4 linked regions of the Arabidopsis thaliana genome follow. The protein of the gene in region 2 binds, or shares a complex with, the protein of the main gene of each other region. Each region holds a gene or a part of one and is shown on either strand. Other genes may lie near its edges. The genes, in order: AT4G09070, SWP, MED9 and AT2G22370.

Region 1 (3,631 bases), on a different chromosome or scaffold from region 2:
TTATCAACTAAGTAATTATTTTTCCTCTATTTTCAGCTCAATTTTTTTTATTGGTTTATTTTTATTTTTTCATCTTGACTAGTATTAAGCAAAAGCGTATCATTCAATTATATAATTGTATCAATTTCCAATTTATTTCTATATAAATTTTTCATTTTTTGAGTGTACTAGGATAAAAAAAAATTATATCATTGGGTGGAATGAAACCTTAATGTTTCATGACTATGCATAAAAAATGAACGAAAGATGAGAAGAAACATGAATCAAACCTTTATTTTTATTTAGATGATTAGATGAGATATATACATTAGGAATTTTGATTCGTTCAGTTAATTTTGTTCAGTTTCATAAAATTTAAATTTGATTTAAGGTTCAGTTCCAATAATTCTATTTATAAGATTTTAAACTATTAGTATTATTCGAATTTGGATAAGTTCGGTTAGATTCATTCATGTTTTCACCACTCATTTCCTAAGAAAACCTTTTTAAAAACAAGGTCATTTTAAGAAACACATAATTTTACACGAAGTCGTTTTAAATGAGGTAGTTTAAACGAGGTCGTTTTATCTTAGTAAAACAAACAAACTCCTATGCTTTTCTCTATATAATGCAGTGTACGAGTCTTAATTTTTCGTTATACTACGTATTCCCAAGAAGATCATCACCAGAAATCTCTTTCATCGGTAAGTGTTTCTCGCAATCTAATCTTGTATTTTGTTTTTATGGCTCGATGATTATTAAGCCTAAAAGTCTTTACTATGCCTTCAACTCATCTTTTTAAAATGATTTAGATAAGATAAAGATAAAAAGCATCGTTTTATAAACTAAATATACTTAGAAGCAGAATTGAGTTGTTTATCCGAGATGTATGAATTTTATATTTAGATTGTATTCAAGAAGTGATATATTTCATATTTGATTCGTTTAGTTAATCTGTTGTCGATCTACTACTATCACAGAACGTGTGATCCCAAACGGATACTCATAGCAGATCTAATGAATTTCTTTAGTTTTTGTAAAAAAATGTTTCTTATTTTTCAATTAATTTTGGTAAATAATTTAATTATAACATTAATTTCTTAGATTTGTTTCCTTTTTATTTAAAGTCAAAAGTTACTTTATTTTTTTCTTATAAGAATTTATATTTTCTTCCCTTTTATCTTGATAAGGGTGAGTACACTTATGTAATTGTGCACATGCACTAAAATATCTAATTATTCTCTATGTTATAATTATTTATTAAAAAATGAAATTTGTATTATGATTCCAAAGTTGATGCATATGTATTATTTTTGGTCTGTAAATTACTTTTAAAAATAAATTTTCCTTTCCATATAGACCACGTTCTATTTCAAATGAAAGAAATGATTAAAAAAATGAACTCCATTTGAGCATTTAAATGTATTTTCCTTATGAACACTGATTGAAATTCTATCAAAAAGTATTTTTTGATTAAATAATTTTTTGCTTTATTGTAAAGTTTTATCATTTTGTTTTTTGGTAAATTATATATCTGAATACAACTATATTATATAAGATATTATTGTTTGTGTATTATTGTAAATTAATAGAGATCATTTTTTTTTAATTTTGTTGTCAAGTGAAATTTGTTGTACCTCCATTAGCCATGCCCGTCAAATGGTAGGTTTGATGATTACATAAACTAAATAACCATTATTGTAATTTCTTTTATAATACGTTAACCTTTTTTCAAATTTCTTTGGGGGAATACTTTTCCAGGCTTTTGCATTGGCAACCAAATCAGGGATCAACATTTAGCAGCCAAATCCTAAACGAAGTAACACAAAGCATAGAGAGTCTCAATGGCGTCAAAGAGGGAACATGGAAAGCCACTCTCAACTATTACAAACCCATGTTGCAAGATCAGGCGAATCAAGCTGAGTTCCCGCGTGAATTTGTAGGAATTTCGCTTCCGGAGGAGCCAGATAAGTACTATTTCGTCATCAGGTCGCAAAGGATCGTCGTGGAAGCAGATTCTTCAATTCAAATGATCATGGAGAGCCTTCAGTCTTACAAATGCAAACTCTCGTTTTACTTTGAAGGGCTTGAGTATCAACTTGGGGATTTTCGTTTGAGAGTTGGTAAAGTTGTTCCTACTCATGCTGAGACCATTAGAGGCGTAGTCATGGAGGTAACAAATTTTATATCTTTTGAGTACGTTGAGATATATTAATAATCAATGTTAATGATTATCTAACACTCTAGTTAATTCATAATTTGGAGTTTGTAATGTAACTCAGTAACTAAAGGTTATTAGCTATGATTGGTAACACACATAATGACGGTTTCTAATGTGATTAGGCAGAAAATTTGTCAATTAAGAAAATTTGCATAATCTACGGTTTTCCATGCAACAAGTTTTCATTATACGAATTTTTAGTGCTATCAACTTATGCCATTATGCTATTATGCACTACTTTCATTTGAAACCTATAATTATGTGTGTGTACTATTTAGGTGGAGTATCTTCCTATATCATCAATGGGAATGGCAAAAAAATTGATGGAGGAGTTCTTGGAGATATGGCAAGAAGCTATGTCGAAAAGGTCGTTGCCGGGTAAGTTTGTGAACAAAGAACTCAACTTTGAAAAGTTTGGACTTGGAGACAACTACACTCCGCAACATACCGCTGTTGGATATGCTTTCTTCATGGCTAATTTGATGGCAGCAATTCAAGCTGGGAGAGGCTAAAGATAATACAACAAAGACTTTTATGAGTTTTTGTGGTATCATTGATTTTAGAAGTCATTAAGGATTGAAAAACAAATGGTAGTTTTAAAAAGTTGGAAGACCAATTTGTAAACTTGAGATTGGAGCAGATTGTGAATTCAGTTTCTTACCAACTTTTTGGTTTGTTTTATGACTGTGAAAACTTTATGAATCTTTTGACCCTAAACTCAATTACTGGTCACTTGTGTCTATAAAATGCATAAATAAAGCGAAAATGTTGGATTACGATTGGGCTTAGTGTTAGTTATTTGGGTCAGTCATTGAGTTGGGCTTAAGGCCCATAAATGAGAAGAATCCCAAATGCAGAATCAAAACGCAAAGAAGTTTTGGCGGTTGCGATTGCATGTTTTCTTCCAAACAGAGCTTACCGGTAGTAACAAACAATATAGAGAGAAAGAAGTGTGAGAGCTACAAGTTTGAAGAAATCGAGTAGAGAGAGAGACAGATCTAGATTCTTCTTCTTCTTCGTCTTCTTCGTCAACCTCTAGAAGACTCGTGTAGGTACGTAGCTTTGAATCTCTTCTTCTGTAACCTGAAATTTTGTTAATTCCTCTTGAGAGTGAAGCATTATCGAGTTTGATCTTCGAGAAATTGTACATAAATCGCTTGTTTCTCTCGTGTTCTTTCTTTGTACTGATTTCAAAACTTGAATCGCAAAGAACAAGCGATAAGATCAAAATCAACTACCAAAATCACTACAGAGAGCTATTTTTCTTTGGATTTTGGTTTTAAACATGTGTTTGATTACGATTCCAGACTGAAATTTGTATCTGAGTCAGTGGATTTTTTGGTGTTGCCTTGTTGATTCGTTCACGTTGTAGTAGTAGATTTCAGAATTTTGCTTTCGTTGCTTTGAGTTTAGCTTAGGATTTGGCTTTTA
Region 2 (8,333 bases):
GTAACGTGAGGAGTGTTATGAAAGAGGCAACTCTTGAGGCATCATACGGTTCTGATGCGACACGGCGGCTGAAATAATCGCAGATTTCTCCAATCTCGGATTGGGTTAACTCCTCTTGAGCCGCAGCAGAAGAACCATTTTGTTGTGCTTGGTGATGGAATCGCCTTACGCTAAGGACTTGAAGAAGGAGCTGAACTCTATGGACACTCACCGCAAACACATAGCCACTGCAAAAACAAAAACAACAAAAAAACAAAACAATAGATAAGCTTAAGCATAATCCTTCAAGATTGAGCATAAGTTTCTTGGTTTGGCTTACCCGACAAAGAAGCGTAAGGCTGGTTGTTCTTGGTCTAAATTCAAGAGAGCGCCTTCGTTATCCTTCAAGATGGAACCCAAGATCTCTCTTAAGAGATCTGGTAACTGAGCAAATAGCCACAGTACTCCAAGATATTTAAGGATACCACGCAAAACCTTTTTAAGAGCCACAAGAGGAACCCATCCTCCGCCATAGCCACCGTCATCACCTAAACCGATTATCGCTGTGTTTAATTCACCTCTTACATGCGCTGGTACAGCAGTGCCTGGTGTTCTACGCACAGGCAATCCTGAGCTAACCACTAAAGATCCTGAAGCAACACTGGCTACTCGATTCATTGCAGCTCTTGCACTAGAAGGGGAAAAGTTAACTCTGTTCACACCGTTAACAGTTGGGTTTCCACTGTTGGGATTTGTTGCTCCTTGGCTACCTGTCAAATTTGGTTCTAAACCGTTCAATTCTTGAGCAACATGCTCCATGATGAAAGGTCTGAATTGGGGACATGGCAAGGAGCCTCCAATAGAAGCACCACCCTTGGGTGGAGTTGCTGGCTGCAACCAGACTTGATCTCCAGCAAAACATCTCATGTCTACTGCAAAACGTTTACGGTATATGATCCTTATCCAATAGGGTCCACGGAGTACTACAGAGACATCGATGGGCAAGAGAGAGCTTGGAACGATGCCAGGTCCGCTTCTCCCTGCAGCTGCTAGCATTGCAACTCCATGGAAACCTCCACCAAGTGGGCTTGGAGCAGAAGAAGCAACAGTATTTCCTGAAGTTGCTGAGGCAGACTGGCCAGTAGCATTAGGAGCTGCTAAAGTTGAAGGGGCAATGATTCCTTGAGTTTGTTGTATCTGATTTGATTGTCTTGAAGACGCTGTAGCAGGTACAACAGGCATGCCAGTGGCAGTACTAGCTCGGGCAGGGCGAGTAGCGGCAGCTAATGCATGCAAAGGCCCAGCAGTAAGGCGAATGCAATCCAAAAGGGATTCTACCTCTGCTCCGTTTATGAAATCCTCCAAGAACTGTACAAGAGTAACTCACGATGAGAAAAAGCATATATTTGGAACTCTTATAATAAAAATATTTCCCATGAAGAGAGCAAATGTTAAGTCCTGCGAACTACTCACCTTTGTATGTGGCCATAGTTGGTCAGGAGAGACATGCATGGTGCATCCATCTTTACCTGATTCCCACTCGACAACAAAACGCGCCAAAACGCCTGAACCAAAGCTAAACCACAGGCTTGTTAATCCCACAGCCTCAATCTTGAAAGCTCTCCACCTATCTACTGGCTCACCACTGCCTTTTCCTCCAGTAGATCCTTTCATAGTGGAATTAGCACTGCACTCTTCTGTTTTTTCATCTGGCTTTATGCCAAGTAGTTTCCGCATACCAAGGGAGAACATTCTAGCATTTGAAAGCCTTTGTATGTCGGCCACAAGCTTCTTTATACTATCGGCTTCCACAGACTGATAGCTCAGAACAACACCTTCAGGGTCATAACGGATATGAGAATCAACATCAGATGAATTCGCAATGTGAACTCCAGAACCCCATGGTGTGGTTTTACTTCCCTTTTGAAGTTCCCAGAGATCCCTAAAGTGTTGGTCATTTATTTTCACATCCCAACACATGCTTCCAGGTCTACCAAGCTGCAAGCATATATGTTGCCAGGAATCATTTTGAGCAAATGGAAGCCTGAACCATATATCTGAAAATGCATCTCTTAGTCCCATTTCCTCAACATATTGAATATCCAATGCCTCCATCTGACTAGTTAGTTTGGCATGCTTTATGGACAACGAAGAATGCCTGACCACATGGAGAAGAGCATAAACAAAAACGCTTGAAGGTGCATTCCCCTTGTTTGCTTCAGCTATGAGATTCCCATAGCTGCATCCTATAGTTTTTGTTGATGTTGACACGGCAGTGGATAAGGTCTGTGATGCAGGGCTCCAACTCTTCACTAATTCACTCTGTACCAGTTCAGAGGTTTTTCTTCTCTTATTGGGACTAGCAACACCTTCCACTACCTGGAGGGATGGGATCAATCTTAGCAAATCTGAAGCTGAACGTTTCCGGGGCTTCTGATCTTTCCTTAACAAAGGACCAGCAGATGATGTTGCAAGATCAGCTGTTTGAGCTGCAAATAACGGAAATTTTTGAATTCTAATATTGAGAAAGTTCTATGAAGGTAAAAAAAAAGGCTATGGAAAAATGTTCTTACATAGGGGAAGAGGTGACAATGAGGATTCAGTGACCAGTCTAGAGCCTGACTCAGAGACTCCATTCCCAGTAGAGAGGGATGGAGACAGTATCAGGGATAACTCCTGGTCAGAGTTAGAGATGGCTATCTTCTTCATAGCTGAACCCTTCCCAGGGGGAGATGATAACATATTATAAGAGCTAGATTGTAAGGGACCCTGTCGATTATACAAGGAATCTGAATGATAGCTAGTCAACATTGGAGCTTTTCCATGGCCGGTAACAGCAGAGAGATTTTTGGGAACTAAACCATGTCCATCAATTGACATAAGAGCAGATGTCACTTTCTGAAGTCCAAACACTCCATCTACGACACTAGAGAAACTCAACTGGCTTCCACTCATTTCTGTCAAAGCCTCGTCAACCAATCCAGGCTGACGGTGTCCAGATGCTTGATTTATGCCCTCAGCATCCGAGAATGAAGATACAAATTTAACCACATCGGATGTAATCAAGTTAAGATCATCTTCGAGAATCCGTATCTGCCCTATATCAATTTTCTTAGCTCGCAAAATATTGCTTGGATCATTGAAAGACTGAGGTTTTCCCGAACCATCCATCTGAGTTTCCAGTAATTTAAACAATGGTGTGAAGTCCTTTTCGAGCTCCATTAGCAAAAGGTGAGAGCTTTCACAGTCAGGGAATCCCAAAGTCAGAATGCTTGACCCATCCAAGAGGCTTTTAGGAACTTTGTTTATACCAAAACCATGTTCATAGACCTGCATTAAACGCAAACGTCAACACTCCCAACTCCAGAGAGTGAATTTGAACAACAAGCTGAGGCAAACAATTACTACCTCAAGACCCAAAAATTTGCCAATAGCAGCAAAAAAATGCAAAATACTTTTGCTTCTCAAGTTGATAAAGGCATCAACTGCAGATATACTTCCTTGGTTTAACGCATCTTCAAATTCCTCCAAGATGGAGGAGGTCAAGATACTCTTGGATGACTGTAGAAGAAACCGACCAGTCCTGCAATCAATAACATATAGTGAGAATAGTCAGCTAAAATAAGATCTCTCCCAATACATAGATGAAGATATCATACCTTATATTTATCCCCAGTGTGAAAAATGAAGATCCATAGGCTCGCACTCGTAAGACCTCTGGCTCTACTCGCTCTTTAGAGTCTACCATGTTATCTCCCTAAAAGAATGGCGAAAGAGAAAATGATCCAATTAAATTCAATTAGTTGTTGAGACAGCAAGAGAAATATGGCCTAACTATACTAGCTCCCCAGCCAAAAGAAGCTAGGCAATAGGCCATGTGAACTGCAAAAATTAAACTACTTTTTCGAAAAAATATAAATTATCGAAACCTAGGTTCGGCCATCTCTGAAATTTAAATTTGCGATTATTAATGCTTAATCTCATGGTCTATAGCATGAAAGCTATGCATTATTTAGCAAGGGCTATGTGTCATAAACAGAAATCTATCTATTGACATGCAAGTGACATACTAAATGTCCAACTAGTGTAAGTAGCTCTGACCTGGGAAAAAGTCCTACAACTTTCAAGGAACAAAATATTCAACATTAAGCCGAAAACAACTCTTTCTTTACCTCAATACCAGGCTCATCCAGGAGGGCTTGAAGGATCACATCACTTGGAGTTCGACAAATACGAGTATTCCTCAAAAGCTCTTTCTGAATTTCAAGAAGACGGGTATATCTATTACAGCATATAGCTTTAAGCAGAAGCTTCTCCACGTCAATGCAGCTCTGGTCGAGAGAAAACTCAGCTTCCTTGCCAGTAAGTGGGTCAATTACAAATGTGCTGTGAGAACATTTAATCTGGAGATCTGACCCTGGTTCAATTTTAATAAATGGGCCAGAATTTTTATCAGAATCTGACCAGTAAAAAAGTTTCATTCCTGGCGTTCGAAGACTAACAGAATCTGCCTCTCCTTCTTGGTTCGCTGGTGTGGTACCAGTATCTGAAATTAAGTCGAAGCGAATTGCATCTTTCCATCTCCCCTGCAGAAGAGCTCGGACCTGTCTTATGACTGTGTCCATGACAATGGCAACGCACAGCTCATGGAGCACCGCATATAAAATTGTGAATGGATTTTCTGCCACGGACATTCGACGCTCTAAATCATCTCCAAGGATATGCCGTCTTGTCACTTCAAGTTTAATGGGGCCACTTCTTTCACCAACAAGTAGATCCAAATGCAATATCCGCCACATGGATAGGTGCCCTCGGTAACCAAGAGTAACAAGAACTTTAAATTCCCCATCGACAGATAAGGTAACTGTACCTTTAGAAATTTTCACCTCTGTTATTTCTTTTGGAAGTGTGATTTCAAGCAGTTTGGAACGTACAAGTACCTCCAGCTTTCTTAGAGCTGGTTTCTGTTGATGCTCATCCAAAGAGCTCTGCATGCCCACATCATCTAGACACTTTGGCAGGCGCTGATAAGAACCTGTCAGCAAAATCTCAACAGCAGAGGGAACGTCATAGACAGGAGCGCGAGCTTGCTGTAGACCTTCATGCATAAAAAACAGCGAATCCGCAGCTTGTGTGAAGCATATGTCATGAGCTGATAATGTACTCCCAAGGTCTTGAAAGTAGTTTATAAGAGGAACCTGCAGCCCAGGAGGTTTAGCCAAAAATGAATAAATAGCTCAATAAATTTTCGAATACTTACTCTGTAAAGAAAGTGAACACAAGCAAGCATCAACAATCTATGAAATCATAATTTTTTAAAATGGAACGTTGATCTGAAGTAAACTACCTTGAATTTTTACAGAGACACTACAGTCATAAATTTCTTAAAATATGCAGAAATAACAGAAGTACATGATAACATTGATAAGCCTACTTGGAATGTGAAGTTCCATGGAATTTAAGAGACAAATCTAAACTTTAGTAGACAAGCAACGTAATCCAAACAACAAAAACCCATCAAGGACAAGATCACACAAAAGGATCTTCCAATTCCATTCAAAGTCTGTAAATCATCCTACAAACATCAAAACTATATCCACGGGAAATGTGTTTAAAACTAATAGATCATGCAATCAACAAAACCAAACCCTAATCTTGCAACATATCCAATTCCAGTCCAAGAAAGCTTCAAACTTTCACTTCGACCCACAGACCCAAAACGTTAATACTTAGCGAGAAACAGAGAAAGACAAACCTGTTTACACCACTTGGCGAGGGCATTGAGGCGGAGCATCCGTTGCTGAGTCTTAGCGACATACTTAAGGAGGCTAACCTTCTTCTCAGTATCAGAAAGCTCCGTCGACTTAGACTTATCCACAAGTTCCTTAAAAGAAAGGAACGATTCCTCTGCGGCTCGACCAACAAGAGCAGAGAAATCCACCGTCTGTTGCCCTAATTCCGCCATCGCGGAGAAAGAAACAAAATCGCCACCACCCGATTCAGAAACTTAGGAGATCTCACGATTCGTAAAAAATTAGGGTTCTTATCCTCCGCTTCCCCCACCACGACGACAAAAGCACAAAGCTTCCCTTTTCCAGCAACCGGATTTGATTCGGACAAGAGAGACAGAGAAAAAGGGTTTAAAATTGAAAGGGGTCAGGGAAGAGTCGAACGCAAAACGTTGAACGGAAGATGAAAAAAAAAAAAAAAAAAACGATTTTTGGAGAAATCGGCTGAAGAAGCCTTTTTTTTTAACAGACGGCAAAATCTAATTTTTGTGTGGGGTCTCTCTTTTATCCACGTAAGCAAGTAAGTCACTATTAAATTATTAATTAGACATTTTAACCATCATTAAAAAGGTTAATTACAAAATTATCATTAATGTACACTACACTCTTAAGTAGAAGATGTGTGATGTATTAATGTATATATGGTGAATAGTGTGTATAACAATTGGACGGTGAAAACGTTGTTCCGAGTTCCGACAATAAACGGTGAATAGTAATACTGTAATAGTGTATAACAATTTTTCATAAGGAACCACAAGAAACACTTATTTGAGATTTTGGTACGAGGTTTATTTTTCTATGAAGCAATAGTAATACTGTAATAGTGTAACGCATGTAGGAGTAGCAAGGCCTTCTCACTTGTCCAACTAATTTATGTTGGGCGGCAAATAAAGAACCAGCATGAATTTTTATATATACTTTGAACCCAATACCAAAAAGCCCAGCGATGTGTTCATTCTAATAGTTGTCTACAACCAATTTTGACACACTATTTTGGTGTATTTATAATTATTATTAGTTTATGATATTTGCATATTATTGATGTAAAAAAATTTCTGTAAGAAAAAAGTGCTTTGTTTTCACCTCCATGTACTGGAAGAACATGAAACCTAATATATTGATATACTATATTAGAGTACATAGAACTCTTTGACCAAAAAAAAAAGAGTACATAGAACTCAAATATTGTTGACTACTTTGGCTATAAAACTGTTTTGTATTAGTATTACTATGACCACAACATGCATATCTAAAAGCTAGTTTGACTACTTTGGCTAAAAAAGGACTATATCTATAATACATGTATTACTAAAGAATTCTGTAGGTACATTTTCTACCGGTCAATTCAACATCCTATTGTAATTTCCTTTTAAGTAAAAGTTGTATAAGACTCTTTCACAATTATTTATTCACTATAAATACCACGAACTGTACCATTCTTACCAACAAATATATATTTCTCCCACACACATAAATAAACACAAATCATGAGCAATATGAAAATAACAAATAGGTTTATGCTAGTGGCAACATTCATAGCATGTGTGTTCATAAGCAGCATGAACATGACGGTTGGAAAAGTAATTGGGTATCCAGGGTTGAAGCCTGATCTTCCTTGTGATCATCATCGGTATCCTTCTGCATGTGCACCCTCCGAACAACCAGTGAATCCTTACAGACGGGGATGTAGTAAAATACATAGATGTAGACGCGATTCACCCCCTGCACCAATTTCTAGAAAAATGTTAATACGAGGTCAATTAATTTATAATAATGCATATAATGCATATATCCAATATCCATGAATAATAAATTTATGGGTTTGGTTGTGTTTAAGCCATGTTGTTCTCTACATCTACACATTTACCTTAATATTTTTCAGCATGTATTATTGTATTACGATATATACAGTGGTGAAATCTTGTTTTATCATTCAGTTTTGTTCGATTTAAGCTCCTTCTTATTAATGGTAAAATAAAACAAATCAGATCACATATATTCATAGCATTTAAGGACCTAGTGTGTCACACGTGTGAACCTGTAATGTTTGTTATACACAACAAGACAATGATTTTTGACTGGGCCCAGCCCACACGAGGGTCCTAACATCTCTCAACAGGGTTGGTGTTTTTGGGCCCAGGTGGACCCTTTTATCTCATTCTCCTCCTCCTCCTCACGTTTATATGAAATTTTTCACCTATATAAATTTAATCAATTTTATTTATATAAAATTCTTGACATGTAGATTATAAGATTAAGATGAAGTCGTTGTCAATTTGGACCTTCAATTTTTTATGTCAGATTCTTCCATCGTAATCATGCATGGGGGCATGAACATGATGATGTTTAGCAATAAATGATGTTGATGATCATTATGCTGTTATAATTTTATTATATATAATTTGCATGGAGCCATTTATTTATCAACGCTATTATTATTATGCTCCTTTGTGAAAAAATACTACATTACCATATTTTAGGGTCGACGAAATGGGCATGACATGTACCGCCGCCCATACCACATATGGTTGACCATTTACTGTTGAGTTAGTCGTGTTTGGCCCT
Region 3 (3,794 bases), on a different chromosome or scaffold from region 2:
ATGTTGGGACCTATGATCGTTTGCTTTGACGTTAGGTCTGAGAAATTTGGTTTTATTACTTGGAAACCTCCCTCTCTGATAAACTACAAGGGTAAATTAGGTTCAATAAATAGTAATGATAACGATTTGGTGTTGTGGGTTTTAGAGCATGGCCAGGAACGTAAATGGTCAAAGCATATCTACGTAAAGCCCCTTCAATGGCCGGAGTTCAATGGAATTGATGTAAACTTTTTAGTTACTAGTAAAGGTGAAGCTGTATTCTGCCCAAATCACTATGATCCACAAGTTCCTTTTTACCTTTATTACTACAATCTCGAGGAGAACATTGTGGTAAGAGTAAGAGTTGAAGTTCCAGAATCTCAAGGTTCTAAACGGGTTTTGTTTCATGCTGTTCCAAACTATCTAGAGAATATGAAGCTTACGTGAGTGTTTTATTGGGTTTTTTTTTTACCTGTTTAAGACTATTATCATGATTTCAAAATAGTGAGTAGGGATAGATTAGAAGTCGGTGTTTTTATTTCTTTTTAAAAGACTAATAGATGTGGCTTCAATGGTGTTTTGTTTTATATTTGGAGGATCATTGTGGAATAATGGTTGAATTTTCCATGGTCGCTACAATGCTTTTTCTACTCTGTTCTGAATCTAAATCACAAAACCACTCACTATGTTCAACAACTACCTGGGCTTATATCGTTTTTGGGTTGAGCTTTCTGTTGCATGTCCCACATACAAAGATTTTGGTTTGGTTTGATGCAGACAAAACACATTATGCATTGTGATCTATTTGTAATCCGAAGAATGAATTTTCTTGAAGAAAACCACATTCTCTTTATTATGTGAATCAAGATTGGTTTATTGATAACAATTATTGGTCTTAAGTAGCTAAACAGTTGCTGAATCAAAATATGAGAAACTAATGCTCCATTGTCACAATCTCTTCAATAGATTTCCTATACTCCACAATCAAATCCCTGACCAGAAGACATTTAACAACAAAAGAGTAAGAGCACGATCACAATCTGATCAGATAAAACATGATACTAACAATCTAGCTAACCTTCTCTGTTGAAGCAATTGCTCACTTTCTTCAACATTTCTCTTTTGGCCATCAACAGTCTATAAAACACAGAGAGAGAGAGAGATCCATAAGAAACAAAAGATTAAACAGAACCAATACAGAGATCCAAAATGTTACCATAGTTTTAGATCCTAGTGATCCTGAAATCGAATTCAGCAACTGTTGACACTTGTCGAAATGGCTATTCAATTCATTCACCTGCAAATCCCACAATTTCAACATCATCCAATAAGAAACCCTAGAAATCTCAAAACCACTTTAAAAGACTTGATTTTTAACAAACCAGGGCGTCAGAATTCTGATCTCGTGTTCCATTTTCGATCACATCAGCTAATTTCTCCACCATCTGCGTCATTAACACGAAATTAGAACCCCCAACGATTCCAATTTCATCAATTTTCTTTGTTTCTCTTACCGGATAGAGATGGAAATGAGAAGCTAAAGACTGATGCTGTTGAGGAGTCTGCACCGGAGTTTGAACCAACTGTTGTTGTTGCTGCGGTGTATGCATCATAGATTGAGGCGTGTGAACCATCGTCTGTTGCGGCGGAGGTGATTGTAACGACTGTGGCTGAAGAGGAGGAGATTGTAACAACCGTTGTTGTTGTTGGAATTGCTGTTGTTGGATGAAGTGTTGCTGTTGTTGGAATTGCTGATATTGTTGCATCTCTTGTTGTTGTTGTGGCTGGAATTGTTGTTGTTGCTGCTGCGTCTGTTGTTGTTGTTGAAGATGAAACTGTTGTTGTTGTTGTTGTTGTTGTTGTTGTTGTAATTGTTGTTGCTGGAGGAATAGTTGCTGGTCATGATTCGTCGGTGTACCGAAGTTACCTTGCGCCTGCACGTTTGGGATCATCGACCAATTACCTCCTCCTCCTGAGAATTGATCCATTTTTTCTCCTTCCGATCTCGCTAATTCTCCTTCTCGTCGCCGTCGTCGTCTATTAAAACTTAAAAGAACGAAGAAGAGACAAAAGTGGGAACTTAAACGATGTCGTGTTTTGACCAAAAAAAAAAAAAAATGATGTCGTGTCATGATAAAACGAAGTTGTTCTCAGTTAAGGTTTTGTTTGTAATTTACAATCGTAAAACGCCGTCGTTTCAGTATCAATCTCTTCTTCTTCTTCTTCCTCTCAAACCGAATGTTCTTCTTGGTCGGTCACAATCTGTTCTGCACGAGCACTGCACAATCACTTGGAGTCTGTGAATTTCACATCTGAAAGAAATACAAACTCCCATAGTTTTCAATTTTCACGATCTCCGAATTTCACGACTTTGATACTTGGTTTCTTTGCACATTCACGTAAGCTCCAATTCTTCCTTCTCTTCTTTTGGCAATTGATTCACATCGAATAGTGTTGCGTTGACGAGTTCTTCGTTACAGATATTGTGTATTATGGCTGTTAAAATTGAATTTGAATTGTTAGTATTAGCAAAGTAATACAAAGTTTGTTCCTTTAACTAATTTAACCAGCTTCTGTTCTCATGAACAAGTTTGTGCCTTAGATAAGTCAGATTTTTTACACTACTTGATGTACAGTAAATTTACTTGTCTTTCTCTTTAGGCGACGAAGATGAGGCTGTTGAAGGTTGCTACGTGTAACTTGAACCAATGGGCCATGGATTTCGAGAGCAACATGAAGAACATCAAGGCTTCGATCGCTGAGGCAAAGGCTGCTGGTGCTGTTATCAGGCTTGGACCCGAGCTCGAGGTCACTGGCTATGGTTGCGAGGATCACTTCTTGGAACTCGACACTGTCACTCATGCGTAAGCTTCTATTTTTAGTTTTCTATTTCGATGATGAATGGCATGAATGACTTGGTACTATCACTTTAGATGATGGAATTAATTTCTTTTTCTTCTGAATTTAGTTATCGGAATCATGTTTAACCGTTTCTTCTTATGTTCATGTGAATATCTTCTTTCAGGTGGGAGTGTTTGAAGGAATTGCTGCTTGGTGATTGGACGGATGATATTTTGTGCAGCATAGGAATGCCTGTGATTAAAGGAGCAGAGCGTTATAACTGCCAGGTTCTCTGTATGAACAGAAGAATCATCATGATTCGACCGAAAATGTGGCTCGCAAACGATGGAAACTATAGGGAGCTACGGTGGTTCACAGCTTGGAAGCAGAGAGAAGAGCTAGAGGAATTTCAGCTCCCCATTGAAATTTCAGAGGCTTTGGAGCAGAAATCAGTCCCTTTTGGTTATGGTTACATCCAGTTTATCGACACGTGAGTTTGGATAAATGCTTCCATTTCAACACTGTCAATGATTTTGTCTGCTTAACTGTATCAGTTATATTTCCTTATCAGGGCTGTTGCAGCTGAAGTCTGTGAGGAACTGTTTAGTCCACTTCCTCCTCATGCCGAGCTCGCATTGAATGGTGTTGAAGTATTTATGAATGCAAGTGGGAGTCATCACCAACTTAGGAAACTAGATATTCGTCTGAATGCTTTTATGGGGGCTACTCATGCTCGTGGTGGGGTGTATATGTACAGTAATCAACAAGGATGCGATGGTAGCCGCTTATACTACGGTATGTTTGACAACCCTTAAAATTATTGAAAGTATCATTTTTGAGTAAATCATATCTACTTTTTTGAGTGAGATTTGTTCATTTGTAACCAAGTGCAGATGGATGTGCATGTATTGTTGTAAACGGGAATGTTGTTGCTCAAGGCTCACAATTCTCGTTGAGAGACGTTGAGGTCATCA
Region 4 (3,925 bases), on a different chromosome or scaffold from region 2:
CAGCCGGGGTTGATTCAGGTAGCCGGTTGAGAGTGAGAGGAGAAGGCAATGCCGGGAAGAGAGGCGGATCACCAGGCGATCTGTTTGTTGTTATAGAAGTTATCCCAGACCCGATTTTGAAACGAGACGATACAAATATTCTCTACACTTGCAAGATATCGTATATCGATGCGATTTTAGGGACGACACTGAAAGTACCAACAGTGGATGGGACAGTAGATTTGAAAGTTCCAGCTGGGACACAACCTAGCACGACGCTTGTGATGGCGAAAAAAGGAGTTCCGGTATTGAACAAGAGTAATATGAGAGGAGATCAGTTGGTGAGAGTACAAGTGGAGATACCTAAGAGATTGAGCAAAGAGGAGAAAAAACTTATTGAAGAGCTTGCTGATATGAGCAAGAACAAGACTGCTAATAGCACCAGTAGATGATTAGAAACACGAAAATTTTGACATTGAAATTATGAATCTCTCTATACATATACATTTTTCTACTCTGGCTTGTGATATTTAGAATGGCTCTTGAAAAAAGAAGAAGCAAGTGGAGGAAGATGATTATTGTTGTGGAAATGGAAGAATTTTAGAATTCATTTTTTTGTGGTTCAAATTTTTAATATGTTAGGTTTTAATAGGCTTTCAAATTGGAATTTATTAGTGATTGAATGATAAATAAAATAGTATGTAATTCCACAAAGACATTCACATTATTTTAATCATGTTCGAAGCTTCATAAACTATCAATCTACTGACAAGTGACAACAATGAAACATCATAATACCAAAAGGTTGAGAGAAGAGCAAAGATCATATGCAAGTTGTGATTTATAAAGAATATTTATTAAAGATCCCTTACTGATTCTCATTAAATAATACTTAACTCTAATGGTTCACAAGATTTCACAACCATTGTGTAATCTGGAAAATTGACTAGATTGGACCAAAAGATCTAACAAGAGAGAACACAAGAACAGTTGTTTTTAACTTCAAACTTCTTACAATGTAGTACCTCCTCCATCCGACATAAGAGATGCAGCCGCCGCAGCAGCGGTTGGCACAACCCCCGTGGAGATAGACGGTTTCGACAAGTGAACAAGCCTGAAAACACAAGGAATCATATCACTGATGAAGCTTATATCAAAGACACTATCACAGGTGCTGTAAAATATATCAGATGAACTTACGGAGCAAGAAATTCACAGAAAGATGAAACAGCAGCAGCGACTTCACTGTAATTCTCAGAAGTTGCAGGAGCAGTTACATCAACAATCTGCATACCAGGTGTTACAGGAACAGCCTCATCTATAGCATGAACTTTAGGCATCTTATTAACAGAAGATACAGAAACACTTATGTGCGCAGTCCGTTGGAAATGAAAGGCGAATCCGACTTTGAGAAGCTCATGGTCTAGTTTGTAACCGAGTGCATAGAACATACGCAAAGCATTCTTGCTTACTTTACTTTCAATCATATTTCTAACCAAAACAGAGATTTGATCAGCTCCTGCACCTCTCATCGCACCACCAACATGTTTAACCGTCCTATGGTTCTTAAATTAGCTTCCTTTGAATGAAACAAGAACATATACAACAACAACAACAACAAGAAGAAGCTGTACCATGTGGGTTCGGGTTGATCAAGATCACATAATAGCCTAACTTCTGATGACACAACTCCTGAAAAAGTGAAGATTTCACAAATGTGAATCATGTATGATTCATAGGAAGCTTCAAGTTTCTGAATTTAACAAAAGGAATTGGCTTTACCAAGATTTGGGCCGCTTCTTAAGCATAACTCATGAACTCTTAAACGTTCGCGTTGAACACCACAAAGACCTTGAAGAAGAATCTCAAGAGCTTCAACATGCTGCAAAATCCAGTAGAAAATCTAATCAAATTCTAATAAAAATTCAAGCCTAGGGTTTATCAATTGGACATCATAAGAAAGCTAAAAGCTGATCCATGAACTCGAAAAACTTGGGATTTGTTCGTCAATCAAAAAATACAAACGAACCTGTGTCTCGATGATTCCTTGAACCACACACTCCATTGACATTGAGCTATCACAAAATCTCTCAATTAAAATCGTAAATATATTCTCAACAAGACCAAATCCGAAATTGGAAAAACTAACGAAAGCTTCCTAAATCGTCCTCGGGAGCGAATCTGAGATTTTTTAACACCGGAGAATTTTAGCTAGTTACTAGAATCACTTGTGTAGTTGTTATATAGTAGTTAGCTGTAGATAAAGCAAGATGGCCTATTAGCTCAGTTGGTTAGAGCGTCGTGCTAATAACGCGAAGGTCACAGGTTCGATCCCTGTATAGGCCATTTCGTTTTTTCTTGTTGCCCCTTTTTTGGGAACTCGATCATAATAAAAACTCTAGTGCATCTCGGTCATTGATTAGTGATCACCAAATAGCCCATTAGCTTAGTTGGCCGCATGATGAGAACATAACCACCGGTTAACCGGAGTAAACCGTCATTAGTTAGGTTGAAGATAGAATTTAGTTTGTGCTATCTTTGCTAAAAAGTTCATGAACCCTAACCTAATTAGTTGGCATTTTAAGAAGTCAACTAGTTTCGATAAAGTTTATGAACATAGCAAATGATATTTATATATGGTTATTTCATCTTGGTTGTGATTACTGTAAATGTCTACTAAGTAGAATGTGTTAATTCCTTATAATTGTTGACAAGAAATATGTAGAAAATTTTGTCAAAATTATTGCGATGTTGTGTAGATTAAGTGGCCACTACATCACCACAATCCTTTAAATTATTAGATAAAAAGTTCAAAAATAAGTCAAATAACCATGTTTACGAAAAGTTTGGAGGAGAATAGGAAAAATGTAAATATATTTATTTTAGCCTCAAACAATTCTTCTCTATTTCAATAGACGAATGAATCCTCAATTTTGCATTAACTAAACCATTTTAGTTTCTTCATTCGTCAATAATATCCTCAAGTGTGTAATCATGTTAATGCTCGTCTAATATACCGGTAACTCAAACCGGCCTCATTTTAACCTACCTCACCAAATTTGTAGAGGTAGCATAATACACGGGCCAAGTTGAATATCCAAGTTGATATTTATGCTTATAATGCATCATTTATGAATTGCCAATTGTCAAATGCCAAGCATGCTTTTGTGGGAAGGCTTATGAATTGTTTACAATGATACAAGATGCAAATGTAAAACCAAATATCATCAGGATATATTAATACAAGAGTCTATGGACTTGTTTCAGAGGATGAAAAATATAAAAACAAAAAGGTGTTCAACAAAAATAGGTCAAGCTTTGGGTTGTATCCAAGTTTATGTATTAGTGATCCGAGCAAGAGAACCTATCAATGCGATACACGTGTAGCAATCATTAATCAAATCCACGTATGACGACTTTGACTACCATACACTCTAGTACTCTCTACCGTAGAGGATTACATTTTAACCCTACGATTAGTTTAATCTCTCAGTCCACCGGAGAGTGTAAAAACAGCGAGAAAATCGACGTCGTTCGATCGCCGACTGCGAGCGAAGAAGAAGATGGCTGAAGAAGAGGTTGACTACGTATTCAAGGTTGTTTTGAACGGAGATTCAGCGGTTGGGAAGTCACAGCTACGAGCTCGGTTCACAAGAGACGAATTCAGTATGGATTCCAAAGCCACAATTCGGTGTCGATTTCAATACTCGAACGCTCGTTATTGACGATAAGAACATCAAAGCTCAGATCTGGGACATCGCAGGCCAGAAACGGTACTATATCCTTCTCCGATCTTAGTTCTATCTTCTCTGATTTAACAATGGATAAAATATTGCTTCGAACTCGATGATGTTACAGTGTTGCTGTTCAATTTCGATTTTGATCTTCGTGTGTACCTGAGAGTGACCTCATTTTGACTAGAGAGTAATCGACTCTTTTAGAAGTT

What was found.
Region 1: SWP (region 2) and AT4G09070 share a complex: the UniProt entries of both Arabidopsis thaliana proteins name them as parts of the mediator complex.
Region 3: SWP (region 2) and MED9 share a complex: the UniProt entries of both Arabidopsis thaliana proteins name them as parts of the mediator complex.
Region 4: SWP (region 2) and AT2G22370 share a complex: the UniProt entries of both Arabidopsis thaliana proteins name them as parts of the mediator complex.

Annotation. Positions count from the first base shown.
Region 1 is NC_003075.7:5,800,681-5,804,311, forward strand, and holds AT4G09070 (TATA-binding related factor (TRF) of subunit 20 of Mediator complex), read left to right. Parts: upstream 1-1,627; coding exon 1,628-1,641; intron 1,642-1,740; coding exon 1,741-2,152; intron 2,153-2,478; coding exon 2,479-2,712; downstream 2,713-3,631. UniProt on the Arabidopsis thaliana protein: Component of the Mediator complex, a coactivator involved in the regulated transcription of nearly all RNA polymerase II-dependent genes.
Region 2 is NC_003074.8:1,291,648-1,299,980, reverse strand, and holds the start of SWP (RNA polymerase II transcription mediator), read right to left. Parts: upstream 6,184-8,333; 5' UTR 5,945-6,183; coding exon 5,735-5,944; intron 5,178-5,734; coding exon 4,152-5,177; intron 3,737-4,151; coding exon 3,639-3,736; intron 3,563-3,638; coding exon 3,388-3,562; intron 3,310-3,387; coding exon 2,553-3,309; intron 2,469-2,552; coding exon 1,453-2,468; intron 1,348-1,452; coding exon 320-1,347; intron 228-319; coding exon 1-227. Other genes in the region: RALFL21 (RALF-like 21), read left to right, coding at 7,256-7,573. UniProt on the Arabidopsis thaliana protein: Component of the Mediator complex, a coactivator involved in the regulated transcription of nearly all RNA polymerase II-dependent genes.
Region 3 is NC_003070.9:20,552,208-20,556,001, forward strand, and holds MED9 (mediator of RNA polymerase II transcription subunit-like protein), read right to left. Parts: upstream 2,048-3,794; 5' UTR 1,968-2,047; coding exon 1,494-1,967; intron 1,425-1,493; coding exon 1,362-1,424; intron 1,277-1,361; coding exon 1,196-1,276; coding exon of another isoform or gene 1,117-1,195; coding exon 1,058-1,116; intron 972-1,057; coding exon 914-971; 3' UTR 698-913; downstream 1-697. Other genes in the region: AT1G55070 (F-box and associated interaction domains-containing protein), read left to right, coding at 1-426; AT1G55090 (carbon-nitrogen hydrolase family protein), read left to right, coding at 2,650-2,843, 3,005-3,310, 3,392-3,615, 3,714-3,794. UniProt on the Arabidopsis thaliana protein: Component of the Mediator complex, a coactivator involved in the regulated transcription of nearly all RNA polymerase II-dependent genes.
Region 4 is NC_003071.7:9,500,029-9,503,953, forward strand, and holds AT2G22370 (mediator of RNA polymerase II transcription subunit), read right to left. Parts: upstream 2,183-3,925; 5' UTR 2,051-2,182; coding exon 2,009-2,050; intron 1,862-2,008; coding exon 1,762-1,861; intron 1,672-1,761; coding exon 1,614-1,671; intron 1,537-1,613; coding exon 1,180-1,536; intron 1,094-1,179; coding exon 991-1,093; 3' UTR 756-990; downstream 1-755. Other genes in the region: AT2G22360 (DNAJ heat shock family protein), read left to right, coding at 1-431. UniProt on the Arabidopsis thaliana protein: Component of the Mediator complex, a coactivator involved in the regulated transcription of nearly all RNA polymerase II-dependent genes.